Linked DNA regions of Caenorhabditis elegans. The protein of the gene in region 2 purifies or fractionates together with the protein of the main gene of each other region. This does not show direct contact. Each region holds a gene or a part of one and is shown on either strand. Other genes may lie near its edges. The genes, in order: F01F1.15 and mab-10.

The links.
Region 1: the proteins of mab-10 (region 2) and F01F1.15 fractionate together in Caenorhabditis elegans (co-fractionation; one large-scale study listed by BioGRID). This does not show direct contact.

What each region holds. Positions count from the first base shown.
Region 1 is NC_003281.10:5,865,084-5,873,647, forward strand, and holds F01F1.15 (DUF3456 domain-containing protein), read right to left. Parts: upstream 4,447-8,564; 5' UTR 4,446-4,446; coding exon 4,364-4,445; intron 4,317-4,363; coding exon 4,117-4,316; intron 4,073-4,116; coding exon 3,974-4,072; intron 3,843-3,973; coding exon 3,642-3,842; 3' UTR 3,507-3,641; downstream 1-3,506. Other genes in the region: rabn-5 (FYVE-type domain-containing protein), read left to right, coding at 1-719, 1,073-1,223; eng-1 (mannosyl-glycoprotein endo-beta-N-acetylglucosaminidase), read right to left, coding at 1,457-1,673, 1,720-1,923, 2,113-2,370, 2,413-2,731, 2,819-3,024, 3,319-3,416; F01F1.11 (PAP-associated domain-containing protein), read right to left, coding at 4,681-4,732, 5,063-5,233, 5,277-5,460, 5,753-5,960, 6,009-6,173, 6,225-6,460, 6,508-6,690, 6,743-6,761; F01F1.3 (MIF4G domain-containing protein), read left to right, coding at 7,972-8,041, 8,183-8,310, 8,359-8,486.
Region 2 is NC_003280.10:10,524,001-10,537,502, reverse strand, and holds mab-10 (NAB transcription cofactor mab-10), read right to left. Parts: upstream 9,420-13,502; 5' UTR 9,256-9,419; intron 8,131-9,255; exon of another isoform or gene 7,705-8,130; intron 7,167-7,704; 5' UTR 7,082-7,166; coding exon 7,000-7,081; intron 6,954-6,999; coding exon 6,809-6,953; intron 6,748-6,808; coding exon 6,641-6,747; intron 6,591-6,640; coding exon 6,195-6,590; intron 5,834-6,194; coding exon 5,408-5,833; intron 5,002-5,407; coding exon 4,866-5,001; intron 4,818-4,865; coding exon 4,430-4,817; intron 4,066-4,429; coding exon 3,997-4,065; 3' UTR 3,123-3,996; downstream 1-3,122. Other genes in the region: R166.2 (Cleft lip and palate transmembrane protein 1 homolog), read left to right, coding at 8-142, 196-291, 339-476, 1,242-1,370, 1,425-2,465, 2,770-2,964; F59B10.6 (uncharacterized protein), read left to right, coding at 13,029-13,189. UniProt on the Caenorhabditis elegans protein: Transcriptional cofactor. Heterochronic protein, involved in timing of a subset of differentiation events during the larval-to-adult transition.

The DNA.
Region 1 (8,564 bases), on a different chromosome or scaffold from region 2:
GAAGTATTCACTGATCAATTGAATTTGGCTCGTGACAAACTGCAACAAGCCGACGATGACTTTGTTACATTAGGAAAAAAGTACAAAAAGCTTCTCGGGTCCACACGAAAATCAGCACAAGAACTTCGGTCCGAGAAAATCGATATGCCAGCTGATCTTGATCAATTACAATTTATTTGTCTCAAGAATAGGGAAGAATTGATAGAAACTCGAGCTGCAAAAGAGCACACCGAGCAGCAGCTGCAGGATGAGATCACCGTCCTGCGAGCTCAGATTCTAGAAGAAAGAGCGCACAGAGAAGATCAGGAAGTGACATTTACTGCAGAGATCAGCAGATTGCAGTCGGAATTAGGAAAGATCAACACTCGAATGGTTGTTGCATCGGAAACAATTGCAGATCAAGATTCGAATATCAGACAAATTAGAGATCTTCAAACAACTGTCGGTGAACTTGAGACGCAGGTTCAGCAGGTTCAAAATGAGAGAGCCGCTGTTGAACAGACGGCACAGAACTACAAGCAACGGTGCACAAGTCTTCAACAAGAACTCGACACATCTGAAGTTGTGCAGAGAGATTTTGTGAAATTATCTCAAAGCCTCCAAATTCAATTGGAGAAGATTCGACAGTCGGAACAAGAAGTACGATGGCAATGGGATGATGATGTAGATCAATGCTCAAATTGTGATACATCGTTTGCTAGAGTTAAAGTTAAACCTCAGTAAGTTTTTGAAAATGGAAGTTTGAATTTCTGATAAAAAATTACAAGAAAATTATTTTCTTCATTTTCAAAAATAAATTTTACACTTTTCCAATTAAAATATGTCAAACAGAAGATTTTAAAAAGAAAAAAAATATATAGTGATTATGAATCAAGCGTTCGGTACCCTTTCTTAAAACGACCTAAAATATTTTTAAAAAAAGGCTTCGAAAAATAAAAAATCACGCATAGTTTTCCAGAAATAGCAGATTTTTATAAGGAAAAATTTTTAAAAAAGTGCGAAAAATAAGAGATAGCACTATTTTACTTTTTCATGGAATATTTCAGTCACTTTTATTTTTCAAATCTTTTAGCTGTCTTCATTGTGGTCGGATATTCTGCATGAACTGCCTGAAAGACACCGTTCCAAGTGGACCAAATCATCGACCAGCCAATGTGTGCAAAGTATGTCACACACTGCTCAATCGGGATACAAAACCATTCTTTGCAACGCAGGATAAGTAATAATTCATCTGGAATGCTTATTCTGTCGCTGATTATCCACAACTCGCCCTTCCAATTTCACTTTCGCCACCTTTTCCCGATTTTATATGTGCATCATCCGTGTGCTAGAATGTCTAGTCTTTTAATTCTTGTACAATGCTTAATCTATTCTATATACGTACATATATACCAGAAATTGATCTAAAATTGTGCATTAAAATTTGTTTTATTGACTTTTATGAAATTAGAATTATTTAATTAGAATCAATGGAAAAGTTTTCGATCACAGTTTCGTCGTTGCTTGATGTCAAGATGCTGATGGATTCCAAATTTCCTGGCTTGTCAATATGCCACGTGGAATCTCCGGTTTTGTCCATAATTTCAGATCTATTCAGAAGCAGGTCAATTGAATTGGAAGTAGTGCAAGTTATGGTCAGGGTACTGTAGTTGACAGAATCGAAAGTGAATAGTCTGGAAAAAATTATAATGAGTAAATTTTTGTATGTTCATAACTTACAGAAATTTTCGATTTCTGCCAAAAAGAGTGAGTCCTGTAGAGTCAATTACTTGGTGGCAGAAGGAGCTTAAAATTTGAGGCTGAAGCTGCACTGTGCTCAGGCGGTAGTGCCAATTTTGATCCATTCCAGTACAGAAGTTGGTGCCAAAGTTTATAGAAGTTAGAGGACGAGTTCGGATGTGTGGAAGAAGTTTGGACCAGAAGCTGGAATTAAATTAAAATTTCAATAAAACTTAAATTGTGGAATTTTTCTGAAAAAAATCCTAATGTAGAATTTTCTAGTTGGAAATAAATTAAATTTCAAAAATTATGTTTTTTATAAATTTATATTTTTATCGGGGTACTGTAGTCTTTTTTTTCTGATTTTTCAATTTTATTTTCAAAAAACCTTACTGAATTCCTTTGCAAATTTGATTTTCCTCAGGAAACTTTTCATAAATCCATCCGGGTGCAAAAAGAGCAACTGACATGTGAAAAAGTTTTGCCAATGCAAATGACTGATCACAATGAAATTCTCCAACACAACCACGAGCCCATACATCAATTCCAACAAAGATCCGATCAAGAACTCCAAATTCAGCCGATCGAAGAAGTTCTTTATCTTTCCAGTTGTAGTTGAGATAGATGGCGTCACAAGCATCGTAGAATTTTCTTAAAAATATTAATATTTCAGTACAGTTCTAATATTCTAACCGATTCATCTCATTCAATTCATTTTGCCAATGCAACTTTCCATTATCAAGTACCGAATCATACCATATCACTTTCGAATTTTCATTCATTTTCTTTGACTTTTCAGTTAAACTCGAACAAAATTGAATCAACAAATCGATTTTTCCTGCATCAATTTTATTTTCAATATTAATCAACCATCCATCAAATCCAAAAAATCTCGCAACAGCCACCAGACAGTCCACTGTTTTTTCTACCGAACCCTCATTTTCCAAGATTTTCGAACAAATATCGTATCCTGGAATCCATTCCGTGATGAATGTTCCAAGTGAAAGAACACCTGAAATTGGGATACTTTGACTTAAAAACCAAGAAATGGACGGGCATGTTTTGTGTTATTTCGATTTTTAGATTTAATATTTTATACCATGTTTATGAGCAATTCGTGTATAATCTTCCGGTGGAATCGTCACAAAATGATGTGAAAAGTAGTTGAAAATGTCGATTTGCCACCAATTCAAGAACATGTACGGGTACCGGTCTTTTTCGAATTTCTTTCCTTCCGTAGACTCCTCTTCCAAATATCCACCACGCATATCGTGGCATACGAGGATTTGACGACCCGAATGTGGTCTGAAATTTTGCCATATAGTAGGGAAAATCCATGATTTTAGGTCTCAGCACGATCGAAGCTTTTGTCCTGTGACTGTGACTGTGACTATTGTTTATCAATAAAGTTATCAAAAAAAGTTTAAAACTAAGTAAAAACCAAATATTATGTAAGTCTACCATACTACTGGGTACTGTAGCTGAAAAAATTGGCTCGCGCCAAAACCATTTTTTTCGCATTCGGGCTAAAAATATTTAACACTATTCTTATTGCCAGGTAGAAAATTAATTTTCTTTCTGAAATTTCATAAAAATTACTTAAAGTTAACCAGTTGCTCACTGTATTGCTCGCCAACATCTTCTCGTGATTTCCAACTCCAGAGCTCTTCGAGTGTGTCAATTGGAGAAATCGTCATCTAATTATAAATAGAATTGTAAGTCAAGATCAAGAGGCTCTGCGATATTTCAATTGATTTCAACTTTACCCTTAGCATTTCACGAAAGGAAAAACTTGAAGTTTATATCACAAAACAAATCACATATAAATTAAAATTCAAACAGATAACGATATAGCACAATTTCCAGATCCCGCAAACGAGTTGAAATTCATAAATTACTAATTTAAAAAAGGAAAATTTAATTTAAAGTTCTTTTCTGTCAATTTCATCATCTGGAATATCAGAAAGATCCATTGGTTCTTCTGGAGCAGCAGGTAGAGGTGCCACATCGACAGCAGTGCAAGCACCCATTTCTCCTTGGCAGAACTGTTTGACGGGATCCTGATGGGCGGTCTTCAGGAAACCAAGAAGCTCATCTTCGTGAGAGTCAATGAAGTCGTTGCACTAAAATTTAGAAATTTAAATTAAAAAATCAAGACTGAAGTTTTCTGCAAAAAACTGAAAAAGTTCTTAATTCTCATTAGGGATTGTTTTCTAATAATAACTAGAGTTTGGAATCCCGTGCTTGAACTTACAGCGTTTTGAAGATTATATCTCATTTTGGGAGACTCATCTCCTTTCAAATGTGTGGCGTCGTTGTGAACGTAGACTGATTTTCCAGTAATTGTATTCACCTGAAGAGAAATTTGTAAAAATCTATACAATTTATGGTTCTTACCACAAGTTTATAGTGTTTCGCATCATCACAAGCGTGCTCAATGATTTCTGTCAAATGAGATTCTGAACGAGCATAGCCGATTTCCTTGAGCCCTTTTTGATCTCCAGTTGGTGAAACTCGGAAACTTCCAACTTCGATTTTCTTTTTCGGGTCGACTGCGGCGATTTTCAGCTCGAAATGGGTTACGAGGAGGGAGCAGGCTGAAATTTTCAATATTTAAAAATATATTTTAGAAAAATCTATCAACCTCCACACTCTAATGAAGAAACCGATGCAGATTGAATACCCGACAGTGATATGAGACAAACCAGTGTAGAAACAAAATGCATTCTGAATAAATGGTTAAAAAGCGTCGATAATGACCAAGTGAAGCGGAGAGAGAGAGAGAGCAAACAATGATTGGGAGAGTGGCAGAAAGAAAAGAAAAAGAACGGTGTTTGGATAGGTATCCAGTGTTTGTGTAAATGGTACTTTTCTTCACGAATAAAACATGAATATTATTCATTAAAGTTGATTGGAAACAACGTATTCAAGAGATCGAAAATTGATAAGTTAAACATTTTTTCAATTGGGAACCGGTCGACGTACACGTGGAATAATGTCGCAGAGCCGTTGTCTGGAAATTTAATTTTAATACTATTCAGATATGAACTCTGAAATCTCGTCTCAAAGATATGTTACCCGGCCTCGTCACGTACAATTTTTTCAAAAGTAGTACTGTAGTGAAAAACTAAAGAACGCTCCGCAACAGCGAGCAGCAATGAAATTTTATTTTTGGTATTTTTCGAAAAAAAGGGAGCGAAAATAGAGAAAAATTCTGTTATCCTGTCGGTAACTGAAAATATAATTGATTTTCAAATTTTACGCTTTTTCCAAAAAAAAATTACACTTATAACTGAATGCAAATTTTAAGGATTTTAAAATCGAAATTATTTTTTAAACTTACTCAAACTGCGTTCGCTTCTTCATATTCGCTTCGGAAGGCAGATCGTGTTCTCTTTTCAAAAATCCTTCATAATCTTTCCATGTAACACAAGAAGTTCCTTGTTCTCGACCACGCAACGGGCTCAACAGAATGCCCGTGTTCAGGCAAAACGGCATCTCTCGGAGCTCATTTCTGAAATTTAATTCAATGTATTTTCAAGGATTCAGGCACTTACAAGCAATCTGTAATTGCATCTCGAAAGAATCTCGTCAATGGATCCTTCAATCGACAAGCTTCTTCATATCGTTGAACACGCATTGATTCATCTTCTCCAAGTGAAATTGATAGTGGTGTCATTGGATCGAGCTGATCGTATGGGATGTTTGCATCGCTAATTCCTGTCAAATCGAGCAGAAACTCTGGAAAAAACAATAAAAATTGATTATTGGCAAGGGTATCATTGAAATTTTTTATGGATTTTTTTTCTGAGAAAATCAAAAAAAAAGTTTAGCAATTTTACAACAAAAAAATGTTTTGTTTAAATCAAATTAGGCTTATACTGTTATCAATCAATATTATTAAGGAAAAACATATAATTGCCATCTAAAAAGGAAAAAAGGTCAACATTTAAAACTATTTTTTGAAAAAACGAAAATTGTTTCCAAATATTGGAAAAAGCCCATGGATTCTCTTTTTTTATTTAAAACTTACGAGTAATAGTTGAAACAATGGCGGATGGTAAGTTAAGAATGGCTCTTCTTTGACTATTTCCAGCTCTTCTTAAAGTATATCTCCAGATCATGCATCTCGGACGGCACGCAACACAAAAATATGCTTTTATAAACTGCTTGGTTTTGTTGAGAAGTTTTGCGTTTCTGCGGAACGTCAGCAAACTGAACACATATTGAAGATCGGCATTCTAAAATTTGGCATTTTTTCATAGAAGCTGAAACAAAAAAAAACTCACAGAGAATACACCTGTTGCTCGAATATTGTAAGAAGTTTGTTGGCAATGCGAGAGATTCATTAGACTTAAATCGATTTTATCGAATTTTGACTCTGAATTTGTGTTGGTCGTCTGTCCTACAATTGTTCCTCTCAGGTCTTTAATGTTTGACTTTAGCGCATTTAGCTGAAAAATCAAAAAATGGAATTTTGAATTCCGGGCTATCAGAATTCTGACCATAATAGACGTTCCAAGCATTGCAAACCTTCCATCAGCCGCCGATGGATTCACCATACCTTCTACCAGCGATTCCATAGAAATATCTCCGAGAAATGTGGCTTCAGATATTCCGCAACGGATGGTTCTCTCCAATGAAGCTTCATTGAGCGTTTTATCCGATGTCGACACCATCACACGTGTTCCAAGCTCGATTATATCGATTTTCTCTGAGGCAATGTTTTGCTCAATTTTTTCTGAAACAATAATTGAACTTTTAATATTTTATTGATAATTTTTTTACCCATTCGATGGATTTTTTTCATTCTTTGAGTCGTCTTAAAATCTTTAATATCTTCTTTTGCATCATTATAAGAATCATATTTTTCTCCGCCCATATAGTCCTCTACATCGACTACGTCTTCCATTTCCATCATCTCATCTTCGTATGAGCCGTGTTCAGAGCTTTTGAAAGCAAACGGAATTACTATAAAGAACATTTTTTAATTTTTGAATAAAATTATTATTTTTAAACTTACTTCTATTTGAGTTATTCATATTTTTGTGGTAAATTTCTTGAAAAAAAATAATAAAAGGAAAATAGAGAATAGAGACAAACCGAGAGAGACCAGAGAAACGTTGTCCGAGAGGAGTGCACGGCCGAGAAAAGTCCAACACCTTTTTGCGCGCTAAATTTGAATTTAATTTGCCGCACAAAAATTTTCCTCCCTTTCCAGCCGCAAAATAGAATTTTCTTGAAGTTTCACATTTCCACACGAGAAAGCTAATAAAAATAATTATGTTTATAAACAATCAAGCAATTTTTGTCCTATGCAAGTATGCATGAACCGAAAACAGCGTTGGTGTTTTTATAAAACAACATATTTACAAACTCTAGGATAGAAAAATGAAAAGAATATGACATGATTCGCTAAAAAACAATTAATATCATTGAAAAACGCAAGGCAAATGAACAAAAAAGCAGACGTGAAAATTCTAAAAAGTCTACCATAAACTTTTGCGCGCCGAGACCCATCTGAAAAATACATATGTATATAATTCATGAAAATTCCAATATTTTAATTGTCTATTATATTGCTATGTTCATGTGTTTTGAGCCTCTTCTATGCTCTCCAGAGCTCTCTGTTCGCCACATGTGTTGTGTAATTCGAAACAGCCGTCACTTTTCCTCTGTTTTTCATTTTTTGAGTGTGTGATGCTGCTTGCTCTGCCTTCTGAACTTTGCCATCATGCATTTTCGAAAGAGATAAAAAATCTTGAAAGTTGAGCATGAAGCACCCAATTGTCTCTGGTGACACTTTTCACCTCATTTTCAAATCTCTTGCGTCATTCAGCTCGAGCCATTCGTCTTTCGATTTGACCCGGTTATTTTGTACAATTTTTAGTAGAAAAAATTAGTTTTTTGGGTCCTGACACGAGCTAAAAATTTTAGTATACAGTATCTGTAAGTATTCAACCAGTTCCCACAATTTTTTGAAAACTTGTTAGAAAAACTTAAATTACTGAGAAGTCTTATTATATATCAGGAAATATGAAAACTGTCAAATAGGAAACAACTTTCTGTAAGAAGAATGAAATTCTACAGTACTCGCGGGTACTGTAGCTGAAATATTTCGCTTGCTCTAGAACCCTGATCGTCAATTAAAAAAAATTGGCTAACTCGGCAATATTTGAGAATTATTAAGTTAATCGGAAATTTCAGAAATTGAAAATTTTCAGACATTTTTTTTAAATCAATAATCACGAAATGAACGATGATAAACTACGGAGCCTATTTGCATCTCTTGCAACTCTCACACAACAAGGACCAATTCCAGGTGAGCTATTTAAGAAAATTCGAAATCGTTCTTTGTATGTAGAATCAGGCAAATGTGCCTGCTCACGCCTTGATCCCGTTATTTAGTGAAAAGTGATGTGGATCGTCGCGGGACCCACAATTTTAAAAATTCGAGTTTCAGTGCAAGCCTACAGTATGCTTGCTGGTCAACATTCTACAGAAGTTCTCGCCGAACACATGAGGCTCCGATGGCTTTCGGATGGACGCTTTGGACCAGTTGCTGCAAATATACTAATGCACATCCATAAGGTAGTTCTGTACTACGGTAACCTCAAAAACCACAAATTAAAATTCCAGTCCGATCCAAAAGACATTTCATTATCCTCAAATGTGTTGGCTCTACTACTCAACGACTACCGTAACCGGCTTTCAGTTCGAAACGATTCTCGACTTATGTTCAGGAATTGTGTGAAGACACTTTTTTCGTAAGCAATTTCCAATTTTTTTTTTCGAAAGAAACTATCGTTTTATTCCAATTTTCGAATGTTTCTTGTAGTCAGACA
Region 2 (13,502 bases):
ATTGAAGGGATTCTTCCGGCCATCGTCGTCGCCTGGAAATGATGGAAATGTGACAGCATCTACTGCTGGAAATGGAAATAAAGCGATGAATATGTTCCCAAATCATCAGATTTTTGATTTATACGTTTACATGGATGATAGTGTTAGTTGACTTGGAGAAAAAGTTGAAAATATCGGAATTTCCAACAATTTCAGGATCTCCCATTCAGACAATTCGATTCAGCACCAGAAAAGTTGATTTGGATGCGAAATGGAATGAAGTATGATGATTGGATTAGTGGTGATAATGAAGTTTGATAATTCTCTAGATTTAATTAATTTAACTTCGTATTTTCTAGGACGGCAGTCACACAATTCACAAAAACTTCCCAACTCCTGCTGCATTGCTCCGTAATGATTCCCTCTGGCTTCACACGTTCATCGTTAAAGCTGGCCAATCACCGAATCCCAAGGATCGGAATTATTTCAAGAATCAGGTAAAAAAACTAAAATTTTTCATTTTTTTAAATCTAAAATTTAAAAATTCAACATAAAACTGGAAAATTTGGAAAAAAAAAATTATTTAGATTAATTAAAAAAATTGTACGAGAATTGTATAGATTTATCAAAAATATGCTAATTTTTATGTAAAAAATATAACAATTAATTTTTGAATTCGTTTCCAAAAACTGGAAACCGAAAAAATCATTAAATATTAAAAAAAATTAAACATAAAAAAAACTGTAAACTTTTTTTGTGGAAAATATGTAGGTAGACTTTCAGTTAAAAAAAAAGAAAAACTAGCCGGAAATTTTTGAAAAAATTGTTTTTTTTCTCAAAAAACGAAAATTCGAAAAAATACAAAAAAAACATTGAAATTTTTGGATTTTCCGATTGTTTTGAAAACCCGACACGAGGATTCTATAGATTTTTCAAAAATATGTTGAATTTTATGTGAAAAAATAATTTTTTTTAAACATAGAAATTATTGAAAATTTGGAATTTTTAACTCAAACAGTCTCTGTTTGTTTTGGGAATTTTTTGGAAAAAAATGTTTGGAAAGTAGAGAAATTACCGGAAATTATTGAAATTTTTAAATTTTTTTTAGAATATCGAAAATTCGAAAAAAAAAACCAATTTTCGATTCTTTGGAAAATCTAAAAACACAATTTTTTTTGTGAAAAATTTAAAAACCAACATTATCAAGAAGAAAAAGAAGATTAGTTCAAGATTAAAATAAATTTCAAAAATATATATTTCAGATCATCTATAAATCATATCAGCTGAACAAGTACAAGAAGAAGTATTATCGAAAAACTTCAAACTTGTTGACTGGTGAGAGTGAGCAGAGTGATGAGGATCTTGCCAAAGCTCAGATTATGAAATATGAGGTGAAAAATCTAAACAAATATCGAAAATTTTGGAATTATTGTCAATTTTTGCAGGTTCTCAATCACTGGCATCCAAACATCTCAATCTCTTTAGTCGTTGATCAAACTCCATGGGCTCGTGGCCAAATTCCACCACCACTTAGTGAAGATATTGAATTTAATGAAGACGGAACCATCTACAAGCCTATTTTATTCTATAACAATTGGTGGAATCTCGGAGCAGATTATCAACCGATCAATGAAACTGTCAAAGATCTTAACTTGACAATTACCTACTATCCAATGTCAGTGTTCAAATATCAAATGTACGCAAGTCAGCGGATGCAGTCTCAATGGCAATCAATGTTATCTATGGATGGTGCAGATATGGATGATGATGGCCATGATTCTATGAAACAAGCACTTCTAGAGACTAATCCAATCCTTTTGGCAGTTACTATGATTGTTTCACTTCTACATACCGTATTCGAGTTTTTGGCTTTCAAGAATGACATTCAATTTTGGAATAATCGAAAAGATCTCGTCGGATTATCAGTTCGATCTGTGCTTTTCAACATCTTCCAATCACTGATTGTTTTCCTTTATATTTGTGATAATGAGACAAATACAATGGTGAAAGTTACAGTTGGAATTGGTTTGCTCATTGAATGCTGGAAGATTCCGAAGGTGATGAATGTATCCATCGACTGGCAGAACAAATGGTTCGGAGTGATTCCACGTTTGGTTATCAGTGATAAAGGATCATATGTAGAGAGTGAGACGAAGATCTACGATCAAATGGCATTCAAATACCTCGGATGGGCACTTTTCCCACTTCTTGTCGGATATGCCATCTATTCTGTAATCTACGTTGAGCAAAAAGGATGGTACTCCTGGGTACTCAATATGCTCTATGGATTCTTGCTCACGTTCGGATTCATTACCATGACACCTCAGCTGTTCATTAACTACAAGCTCAAATCAGTGGCTCATCTGCCGTGGCGTATGCTCACTTACAAATTCATCAATACGTTTATTGATGATTTGTTCGCGTTTGTGATCCGGATGCCGTTGCTCTACAGAATTGGTTGCTTCAGAGATGATATCATTTTCCTGGTGAGAAAATGTCGAATAGATTATGAGGACGCAGAAAATTGCACTTTTAAAAACGCTCCTCCCCAAAGTATTGGGTCTCGTTTGGAATTTTATTTCAAAACCACAATTTCGCCAAAAAGAACGAAAAATTCTTGAAAATCGGTGAAACTAATTGAAAACGTTTGAATTCACGGATTTGCTGCCAAATTACCAACTAATCTATTGCTGTGGAGCGCGCGTGCACATCGATTTCAAAAATCTCATTTTTCTGCGTCCCCATAATACCAAAATAACTTTAATTAAAAAATAATATTAAAATTTCCAGATCTACCTCTACCAACGCTGGGCGTATCGCATTGATCCAACTCGACTGAACGAGTTCGGCACAAGCCTCGAGAAGGAAACTGGAGCACCGGCGCCGACGCCGGCCGTAGAAGGATCTTCTGAACCTTCCCAGGAGCCCGAGCATGAATCAGAACCAAATTCAGAGCATGCAAAAGAAGATAAAAAGACAAAGTAGAATTTACTTGATTTTTTTAATATATTAAAGCAAAACTATTGTTACGGGAATCATGTCTTCCGATTTACTTGTCGTCCATCTCCCCATCTACTTTTTGTTTCCAGTCGTTAGTGAGATTTAAATCCCCTGAACTTCTCAATTATATATTTCCTGTTCTCTTTGAATTCTTTAATTTATTTGTTATAAACTTTTCTTTATTAGAAAAAATAGTTACAATTCAAGTGCATAAGAACCATGTAAACATTTTTGGGGAGAAAGTGGTGATGGGTGGAGGAGACTAGTAGAGTTGTAAAAATCTGTGAATAAAATGGACTGAAAGTGTGGCAAACATTTAGGCAATTTTTAGAAAATCTTTTTTTTACTATTCAAAGAAAAAATGACGGGATTATTCAAATTTTTGGAGCAAATTAGGCCATTTCGAATGACCGGAAAATTTGAAAATTTGATCTATTCAGAAAAATCTTTGAATTTTTTGAATTTTCACTGCATTAAATGCAAAATTTTTGTGAAAATCCTATGGGCTTTTCGCTTCGAGACCCAAAAATTTATAAAAGCAATCAACTTGCAATGCATTGGATGCGAAATTGAAGTTTTTCAGTTTTGAATTCAAATTTCTTTCTCAATAGAGCAAGACAAACATATTAAATATTTTTAAAAAATTGGAAAATGGAAAAAAAAATTATATTTAAATTATCTAATTGGGGGCGGGGCCGTGGGCGTTGGTTTTGGAACCGAACTGTGTTTAGACTCCCATTATATGAGAGCTTGGCATTGGTTTTTGAAAAACCGCCGGAAAAATGGGGGGTTTTTTGAAAACTAGACAAAAAAGTGATAGGAAGAGAAGGAAATTATATGACTCCGAGCGAAGGGGGCGGGAATTTAAATTTAAATTCAAATTCCCGCCTTGTGGGGTACAATAGAGCGTGTTTAGAATGAGAGAATTTTCGAAAACTAATGAGAATCACAGGAAACCGACCAGCGGGAGGTGTTGCAAAGATCACGAGGAAAACAAAAAATATGGAAATCCGAGCTTCAAGATTCCGGGAGCTCACCCTTCATTTTTTCGATTATCGCCGCCCATGCTTCCGGTGGAATTGGTGGCTGAAAAAAATCGATAATCAAAAAATGTTATTGTTCAAATGCAAAGTTTTATGGTTTTTGGTCTCGACATGACTGAAATAATTTGAAGAAAAAAGGGTATGCGTCTTTAAAATTACAGTAACCGTGTTGTATTGCTACTTTTTCACATTTTTTCTCTTTTACTACATTTTGCATATCGTTCACAAAAATGAAAAAACGGGAAAAAATCGAAGAAAATTGAAAAGCTGCAAGGTGGGAAGACTACTGTACGTACTCTTTAAAGGCGCACAGCATTTTTGATTTAAATTTTTTCATTTTTAATTCGTGTCGAGACCAGGTACGGTATTTTTGCATTAAAAGTAACGAACAATTTAAATGTGCCTACCCTTTCTTCCTCCTTAAAAGCACCTGAAGAACTGGACGGTTGTTCATCGAATTCCGATTCTTGAGGGGGCGGAGAGTTGCCCGGCGAGCTTATCGGACTATGCAAATCAGCTGGATCACATGGTCGTTTTCTACTTTTTGCATAGTTATATCCAGCATCTTTGACAATTTGTCGAGCCAACGGAAACAGCTCATCCCGTCGTGTCAAAAGAGACGGAACGAGAAGACATAGCTGAGCAGCTGCTTCATTTACAGTTGTCTCATGAAGTGTCAAAACTTTATGGGGCTTCCGTTTAGTGTCAAAACGTCCGTAAATTGCAGAATACTTGCGAAACGCGTGGATCATTGATGGAGTTGCTGGAGAGCATTTGAGGAGTTCTATGACTTCTCTGAAATTTCAAAAAATTATAAAATAGTCTGAATCCATTCTGACTCACTTTGAAACTCGTTTCTTATTCTGCACCAACCTCGGCGGAAGTGGCGGGAGATTCTTGGAAGCCGCCAGAGCACACTCAGCGAGACGGGATATTTGAGCAGTTGATAGAGTCGGATTTTCAGTTAGTGATGGATTATCTGGAAAATTAATTTTAACATTGAAGTTTTTCTTTTATAAAAGCTTTCACAGCAGTGTTTCTTTTCAGGTAAACTATGACATGGCACCTTTTCTATACTGTAAGATTACTGTAGGATTATTGTAGTTTCAGAAAAACTGAGTTATTTTTATGGAGACGGATATGGGCGAGGCAATCTTGTAAAACTGTAGGTTACTGTAGGAGTACTGTAGGACTATTGATTTTTTTTAGAAAACTGAGCTTTGGGTTTTTGAAAGATCGGTGAGTTGAGGTTAGTGAAAAGGTTACTGTAGTAGCATTTAATAGACTTTTCAAAAAAACAATTTTTTTTTGTCTTTTGACACTTTTTTTTACCAAGTCCTACTATGATTATTTTCGGCTAGAGCATAAACTTTAGAAAAACGAACTTGGATCAAAATCTCCCAATGAAACGAAATCATTGCCATATGGTTGTGAATAACCAACACCTAAAAAAGGAGAGGACGACCCCTCTTTTTCTTGGCCGGTGATGGACGATGATCGTCCAAATGAAGTGGATGGTTGTTGAATGGATGTGCTAGATGGAGGGACGACGAGGTGGCGTGTAACGCTTGCTGCACCACTAAAATTGAGGCCAATGCTGTTTCCGGAGAATACGTTGGCGGTGGCTCTCGATGATGGTGGCGGAACTGCGGCGGAGACATTGGTGGTGGTGGCGGGGAGGATTCCAGCAGGGAGCTCAGGGTGGGATGTGTTTGAGCTGGTTGAGGGGAGCACGCTTCGAACAGATGAGGTGGATGATGACTGTTGATCAGAGGCCAGAGACTCGAGTAGAGGAGTGGAGAACTTGAACGCTGAAATTTTGGGATTCGTTGAGTTGAGGGAATATTCAAAAATCGCTTAAAATCATGAATGGGACAGTATAAGCACAAGTATAACACAAACTGAGTATGCTAATCTACGCGCTGAATATAGTGCATTGATGAAGCCTTGGAGTCGGTGCTAACTTAATTTCGATCTTTGTAACACATGTTGGTAATTGAAGCGGTACAATTAGTTCAATTTAGAAAAAAACAAAAAAAAACTCAAAAATGTGAACCATTATTTTACTATTTCATAACAAATATCTCAAAAACTTAAAATAAAGAACTAAAAACAAAAATTGTGCATTATGGACATGCGTGTGCTACCAAACGCCCAGCGACAAAGACTAACCCAACGGTACCGAATTCGACGATGTCGTGTTCAGATTCAGTGACGGAGACGATGATGACGTGTCTGCTGCTTCGGATGGTGTCGAAACTTTTTCAGCAACTGACGACAGCTGACTCAAAAATCGGAGACTCGGGAATTTCGGCGACGTGGCAGCGGCGATTCCGGGTAGCAGAAGAGCCATCGGATCAGTACCCGCAGGTGTGTAGTTCAGTGGTGGTGGTGGACCGATTTGTTGAAGAGCTGCCAGGTTGAATGCAGTCTGATCCTGACTATACTCAGCAAGTGCTCTCTGCATCCGCCGGACATGAAGAGGCTTCGGAAGCATTCCCACAAGATTCATAATTTCCAGAAATTCTCTCTCCTCGCATGCCATGATCTGATTGATATCGTCGCCACCTGAAACAAATTTACCTTATAATAGAAAATTCACAAAGAAGAATCCTTACCTTGTGCTATGAAAACATCATAGTACTGAACTAAATTCGCTTTGCTCAGTACAGCCAACAATTGCCACTCGGATAGAGTCGTTGGTGTCGGCATCGGTTTGGGAGAACTAAAAAATTTCATAAATACTTTCCCTTATCACCAGAAATCGATAAAAATGATTGACTTACACAGGGCGATCTGCATTGCTGGTTGATTGACGTTGTGATGATGATGATGAAGAGGTGGGTATTGATGAAGTGGATTGAGTTGTAAGAGATGATAAAATTGATGGAGAAGATGAAGACGAGCTAAGTATGGACTCCAAGTGATGTGCTAGAATTTTACTAATTTTTCTGATGTCCTGATCGTCGGGACTTACATGCTGATGGTCTTGATGTGATCGACGAAGTCGTTGTTGACGCAGATGATGTGGGTAACGACGACGACGACGATGATGACATGATGCCTTCTGAAGGCACACAAGTTGAGGTACGCTCCCAATCCAGATCGACGGAAGGGCAGCGGCTATCGAATAGCCTCAGTATCCTGAAAATGAGTTGTTGAATATGAGATTCTGGAGTCTACTACAGAACTAGTACTTTTTGTCTCAAAGCAAAGGAGATTCAGGAGAAACTTTTCGGCAACAACTCGGTAAAATATAAAAAAAAGCTGTTGATAGGCAGTTGCTAGGTAATTTTTTTAACATCAAAATGTCGTTGGAAAGTTGCAAAAGTTCGACAGGAAGTTGTAAACTGTCAAAGTTTTACAGGACGCTGCCTCCAAAACCTCCGAGCCAAGTTGGTATATATTATTTTTATAATCAACTACAGAAAACACACTGATTGTATGCTTAAAGAGAAAATATCAAACAATTATTAGAAGGTACGTGTAAACTACTAGAAATTAAATATTGTAAGCTGATTTATATTTTTCCCAGAATGAAAATTAATTGAAAAATGCTGAACTACTGTATTAACTGCTTTACAACACTGTAGGTTCCCTATCGAAGTCATAAAAAAGGTTTGCAAAAAAGGTTAGAATAGAGTGAAGAAGAGAAGAAAATGGGAACATATCGACACAGAAAAGAGAGTGGTATGGCCCCCGATCCCTGTTCAAAAAACCCCAGCGTCCGCCTATCTACATCCCTGACGAAATAGTGTCTTAAACTAAGAGTGCACCCATACATCTAACTATAGGTCAAAAAAACTCGGCGGCGCGCCCGGACGCAAACGACGACACAAGAAACATAGAAAAACCGGCAAACCATTGGGCGAGAAAAAGCGTTTAAAACATAGAGACACAGAGACAATCCTACAAAAAACGTCTCTCGCCACTGGGCTTCTTCGGTCGTTCGGACGCGGGACGGACCGGGAGGTGAGAATGGAGAAATAGGAGGGAGGGAATAGTACGGGAATCGGGGGAGATTTAGAGAGAAAAAGAACCGATGAAAAAACCAAAGAGGCGTCGTTCGATTATTATTTGAAATGTTCGGTTTACTATGCGAACGATTGAGGTGACTGTGTGTGTGTATACACAGGATGGGCTTGGGAGGAACGGGACAAAAAAGTGACCTTTGTTGACAAGTGGATGTCTGGGGATACGAAAGTTCAAAATTTACAGTAATCGGGGTCAGACTTCAGAGAGATTTTGGTAGCTTATCTCCTATATCTATTAACTTCTGACTAACAGAAATACTTTCAAGTTTTGGTGTTTCTTACCGATATGATAAAATATTTAGGCGGATAGTTTTCTTCCTGTTTGGACAAATAGATGTCTAGAAGCTATAAGAGCATACTAATCAAAACTCAAGCTCCTCCTCCTTCTTCCAATTCAGCTGTTCTCATCCAACAGTACCACCATCTGTTTGACCTCTTCTTCACCTCGTTCCATCGCTTTTTCCAACTGAAAAACCGCTCCGAAAACGTCCTTTTCGAGGCTGGCGCGCGCACGCTCATTCTTCTAGCAAAAAAAGCCCCCATGAAATTGTCTGCACATGTCCATGAATTGATGAAAATAGTGTAGACATGGGAGGAGATGCGCGCAGTATGAGGTGAACAGAAAAAAAATTGGGAAGCGATGAAGGGAGAGAAGGTCGACGACGAACAGGCGGATGGGACACAACGGGGAATAGGTGGGAGGTTCGAGAAAAAAATGGGAGAAATGGAGAAAATAGACATAAAGTGAAGAGTGACATTCATAACTAATAATCTAGAAGTTACAGTATCTCCCAACGGACGAAACTAGTGATCTCCGGCAATTCTGGAAACTGTCCGAGCTCGGTCGATTCGGCAAGTACTACATCAGGGGTGTGCGTCAAATTCGCCGAGTTTGTCGTTTGCCGAATTTGCCGAGCCGACAAATTTTAAAAATGTGGATTAGCTGATTTTGCCAAATTTGCCGTGCTCGGCAAATACTAAAAAAGTCCATTGTCAAATTTGCCACACTCCTGACACGGAGGCCTTATAGTTAGTTTCTGAACTCTAGACCTCCTAGTCAAACAAATCAAAACTAAGGCTTTGGTGGAAGGCAGGCGCGTTTTCAGATCCTGGTGCATGCCTGAGACCTGCCTGCCTTCCGTTCTTTTCTCATTTCAGTCAATTTGATAGTTAAAAAAAGAAAAAACTAAAAACCTTACCTGATACAGTTCTAACTCCGCAGACGACGAAAACGGGATGACGTGGTTCTCTACCGACGAAACCATTCAGCCCGTGTCTCCGAATATCATTCGCGTCTGGCGCCGCACAAGGTCCGGGCACGACCGGGTCAGGAGGCTGTGGAACAGTGAGGCCGGGGTCTATAATAAAAAAGTGGTTGGATAGAGGTGGAGGTGATAACTGATAATATGCAACGCTAGAAAAAAAGGAAAAAAATTAAGAGAACATAGGTCAACTGGAGGGGGGAACACGCGTGCGTTGAAAAAAAAGCAAAGGCATTGAGAAATCGAGAGGAACAGAGGAACAGACAGAGCCAGAATAGTGCAGCCACACTCTATATTCTCTCTGCAATCTCTCATCTTCTCCATACTATTTCTCATTCAGTGATATCAGCAGTGGCGCGGCGTCTTCTCAGCGGCGGTGGTACCGGTCGCGGACACCCAGGGCAGAATTGCCCGGGGGGGCGCAAGTGACCCCCACAGACCACGGGGGGACGCATGAGGGAAAAAATGGCTGGCACTGCCTGGGGGCGACGGCAGTGTTGCTGCACAAAAAGTGCGTCTACACTCTCTTCGCTTTACTTGCTCTTTCTGCACTTTTTCTGCTGCCCTCGGCCGCGTCCATTTTTTGTGTGTTACTGGCAGCGGTACCAGTCCGGTGCCGACCCAAGGAGCCCAAAGGTCTCTGGAAGAGCAATTGATATGATCAGAAGCAGTGGAAGGCATGAAGAGCAGTTGAAGAAGGGGGATTCAAGTTGGTGTTTGGGATAGTGAGACTTTTTTTAAACCGCTGAATCACTGGAGAAGTACTACATGAGTACTGTAGACTGTATATGTGATGTTGTATATGTTATTGATATGAGTACTGTTGAGTACAGTAAGGCCGCAAAATTATTTTGAAACTCATCTTATTCGATTTTTTTTTCAGAATTCACCAAAACAAATGTGTGGTGGAATTCAATAATGTTCGTAACTTCAAAAGAGGATTTTATCAAAAGTTGCCAAATATATTTTGTTAAAAGCGTTTTTTCGGCGAAAAGGTTGCTGAAATACTTGTATTCTAAAAATCATTAGTATAATTTGAACATGTTTTCAAACAAAAGTATAATTCGTTACAGTAATGCCAAGATTGAATCCTGGAAAACACCTTCTTTCATAAAAATGAAAATTTTGAAAAATGGTTTTTACTGATTCGTAGAACAAAATTGTAAGCAGATGGCGTGGTTCTTGAAACTTCTGGATTAATCCATCTGAAAAAATTCCGACTGATGATTTTGATAATGTGTTGTTTGATCAAAAAACGAAATGGAACTGATGCTTTAGGATTTTTCTAATTTCATCTCACTGCAAAATATACAGAATCTATTGTATTTGGAGTAGTAAACAATTTGATTGTTATAGTTTTTACAAAAAAATATTTTGAAAATTCTGGAAAGTTGGTAACTAAGAGTTTCTTCACAGTTTTATCTTCAGAAACTTTGAGGGCTCATCGTGAGATTGGTTCTGGAAACTCGTATTTAGAAGTTCATAAACTTGTGGGATGTTGATATGTTTGCATGGCAGAATGCAAGAGGATTTGGTGGAATTGAGGTATGTATCAACACGTTTTTTAAAATAAAATCAAAACATTTTCAGACAAAATGTTAGTTTTCAGACAGCATAACTTCCATGTTATGTACCTACCTTCTTCTGACGTATCAAATTCTACTATTCAATTGTACGGAGAACCCTCAACGTTGCCTTACAGTTAGTGGGGTGCTTCATTACCCATATACACTTGAAAGTGCTCTAGTTTTTTATGAAACTTCTGAAAATCAATAATATGGTTATGGTGATTATTTGGCAAAGCGCACGTGGACAGAAGATAGGATTGCTTATCCGTGGTTTGGTCTGCCAAGAAATTCTTCAATGTCAGTTATCAAGCTCAAGTTCCCTGCTCTCCGAGTGGTCATGAATGGTACGGCTGTTTTTGGCGATTCTGCTGCCATGAAACTCTAAAAAAAACTTATATTTAGTCTTGCTCGTTTACTGAAATGCGTCCGAACTTAACAGGAAAAAGAAAGATATAGCTTTTTTTATTGATTATTATGTAATTCTATTTTTTCTGAATAAATTCGTGCATAACAATATTATTTGAATTTGAGCAAAAACTCAAAACTACTTCGAGAATTTTGATGTGTGTTTTTGCTGCTTGCTTAGACATAACTTAGACAGTGAGCACCGGCGTAGGTGTGCTGGCTCGGTGCACACAGTGTAAATTACCATCAAATGAAACTGTAATGAACAGTCTTTGTAAAAGTGCAAACCGCCCATTTATTTCATCTATTTTCTCGTTTCACACTGTAATTATTGTGTGAGTGGGGATGAGAATGACTAGCTCAGTACTACTCTCAGTGGAACATATTGGTTAGTTTTACAATTCTAATGCACAAAGTTGTGGTTTTTAAAAAATAAATGTTTAATGTTCAATGAGCGAGACCCGTTTAAAAAATGAACCGTATTTCTTCTAGTACTACAGCACCCCAGTGTTTCACTTTGAAATGTTACATCTCGGTTTGTTTTACAAATTGATAGAAAAAGAAGAGACAAATATTTTATTAGTTAACAATTTTTGTATAGAAAAAACGACAACTGAGATATGAACTGTCTAAGTTGACAGTCCTAATAGAGATACATTCTTGATTTTTTAAGCTATAACAAAGAAATCTCATTTCTGGTCATCCTTCTCTAAACCCTAATTAATCAGATGTTCCAATTTGAAATTCGTTGTAAAAACAACAGAGACCGCACCAATTTTCCGATCTTCTTCCTTCATTTTTTTTTGCATTTTCTTCTCTTTTTCATCTCCATTTAAGTGATTAGACAGTGCGAGAAAGACACAATACATAGGAAAATTGTCATCCGACCGGTCTCTCTGAAAATACTATTAAAGATGAAGAGACATAGAGAAGTCATGGCCTTCGAAACGTCTACGAAAGGATCAGAGAATGACGTTGGAAATACTGTCCTGATGTTTATTTATTTTTTTTAACTCGAAAATTTCAAAATATGATCGTTTCAAAAAAAAATTCGCCCTAGTTCAGGCAAGATTATTTTAAATATTTGATGAAATTTCTTCTCCCCTCCCAAATCTTGCCCAAGTTTTGTGTAAAATTTATTAATTTTTAGCAGTCACTGATTACAAAATTATTATTTTAATTTTAAATCACTTTTACCCACATAATTAAGAATTCTGACCATTTCTGATCATATAATAGATATTTAAAAAAAATTCAAATAAAGATCATTGGTTGCCAAACATTTTAACATTCGGCAACCTCGACAATAGTCCGTTTTTTGGCGACATCAGCAACTGCCGATATCAATTTCAAAATTGTATCTAAAAACTTCATGAAAAAAGATGCAAGCTTACATAAAATGAAAACAATATATTTTTGTTCTCAAAAAACACTCCGAAATATTGCCGGAAAGCTCGTTTACCGCACTTCCCTGATATGCAATTCATTTTTTGCCCAATTTCTTGCAATAAAAAGTTAAAAACATAGTAACATGACACCTCGTATCCAAAATGGCACCCTCTTCCTCTCATGACCCAAATGTTTGTCTTTTCTCTCTCTCGTTTTTTTCTACCGCAATGTGCTTTTTCTTTGCTTTTTGAGCTTATTGTGCTCATTTTTGCGTCGGGTTATCAAACACTTACCTTCATTGTGAAACTTACTATCAACTCTTTTAAAATGATGCTTATTCCTAGAAAAATGCATTTAGAAGTAACGGAAAAGCATGTGAATATGGAATCATATAAACCTGCAATTGATCTACTTTTCGATGAAGTTTCTCAAATTTTTTGGATTGTTCTATTTTTCTACGTTATTGTGTCAATGATTTGGATTATGTATTGCTGTTATATTAACAAAATGTAAGTTTATGAGAACATTTTTATGATTTTTAGAAATCAGTGAAAAGATCTTGAACATAGATGTGTGATATATGCCGTTCGGCACATTTGAATATTACAGATTATATAAAAAGTCCCCGTTTTCTAATCGTTGTGCCCAATTGTCTTTTCAAAATTTATATAAAAATATAGAAAAATAAATGTACTTACTGAAAATAACATTACTTTTAATTAATTCACAAAAAACAAAGACAGACAAATTAAAAATATTTGATAAACCGCCATGTATCATTTTAATTTTAGCATACAGCTCAAATCCATCTACGGGGTTTTA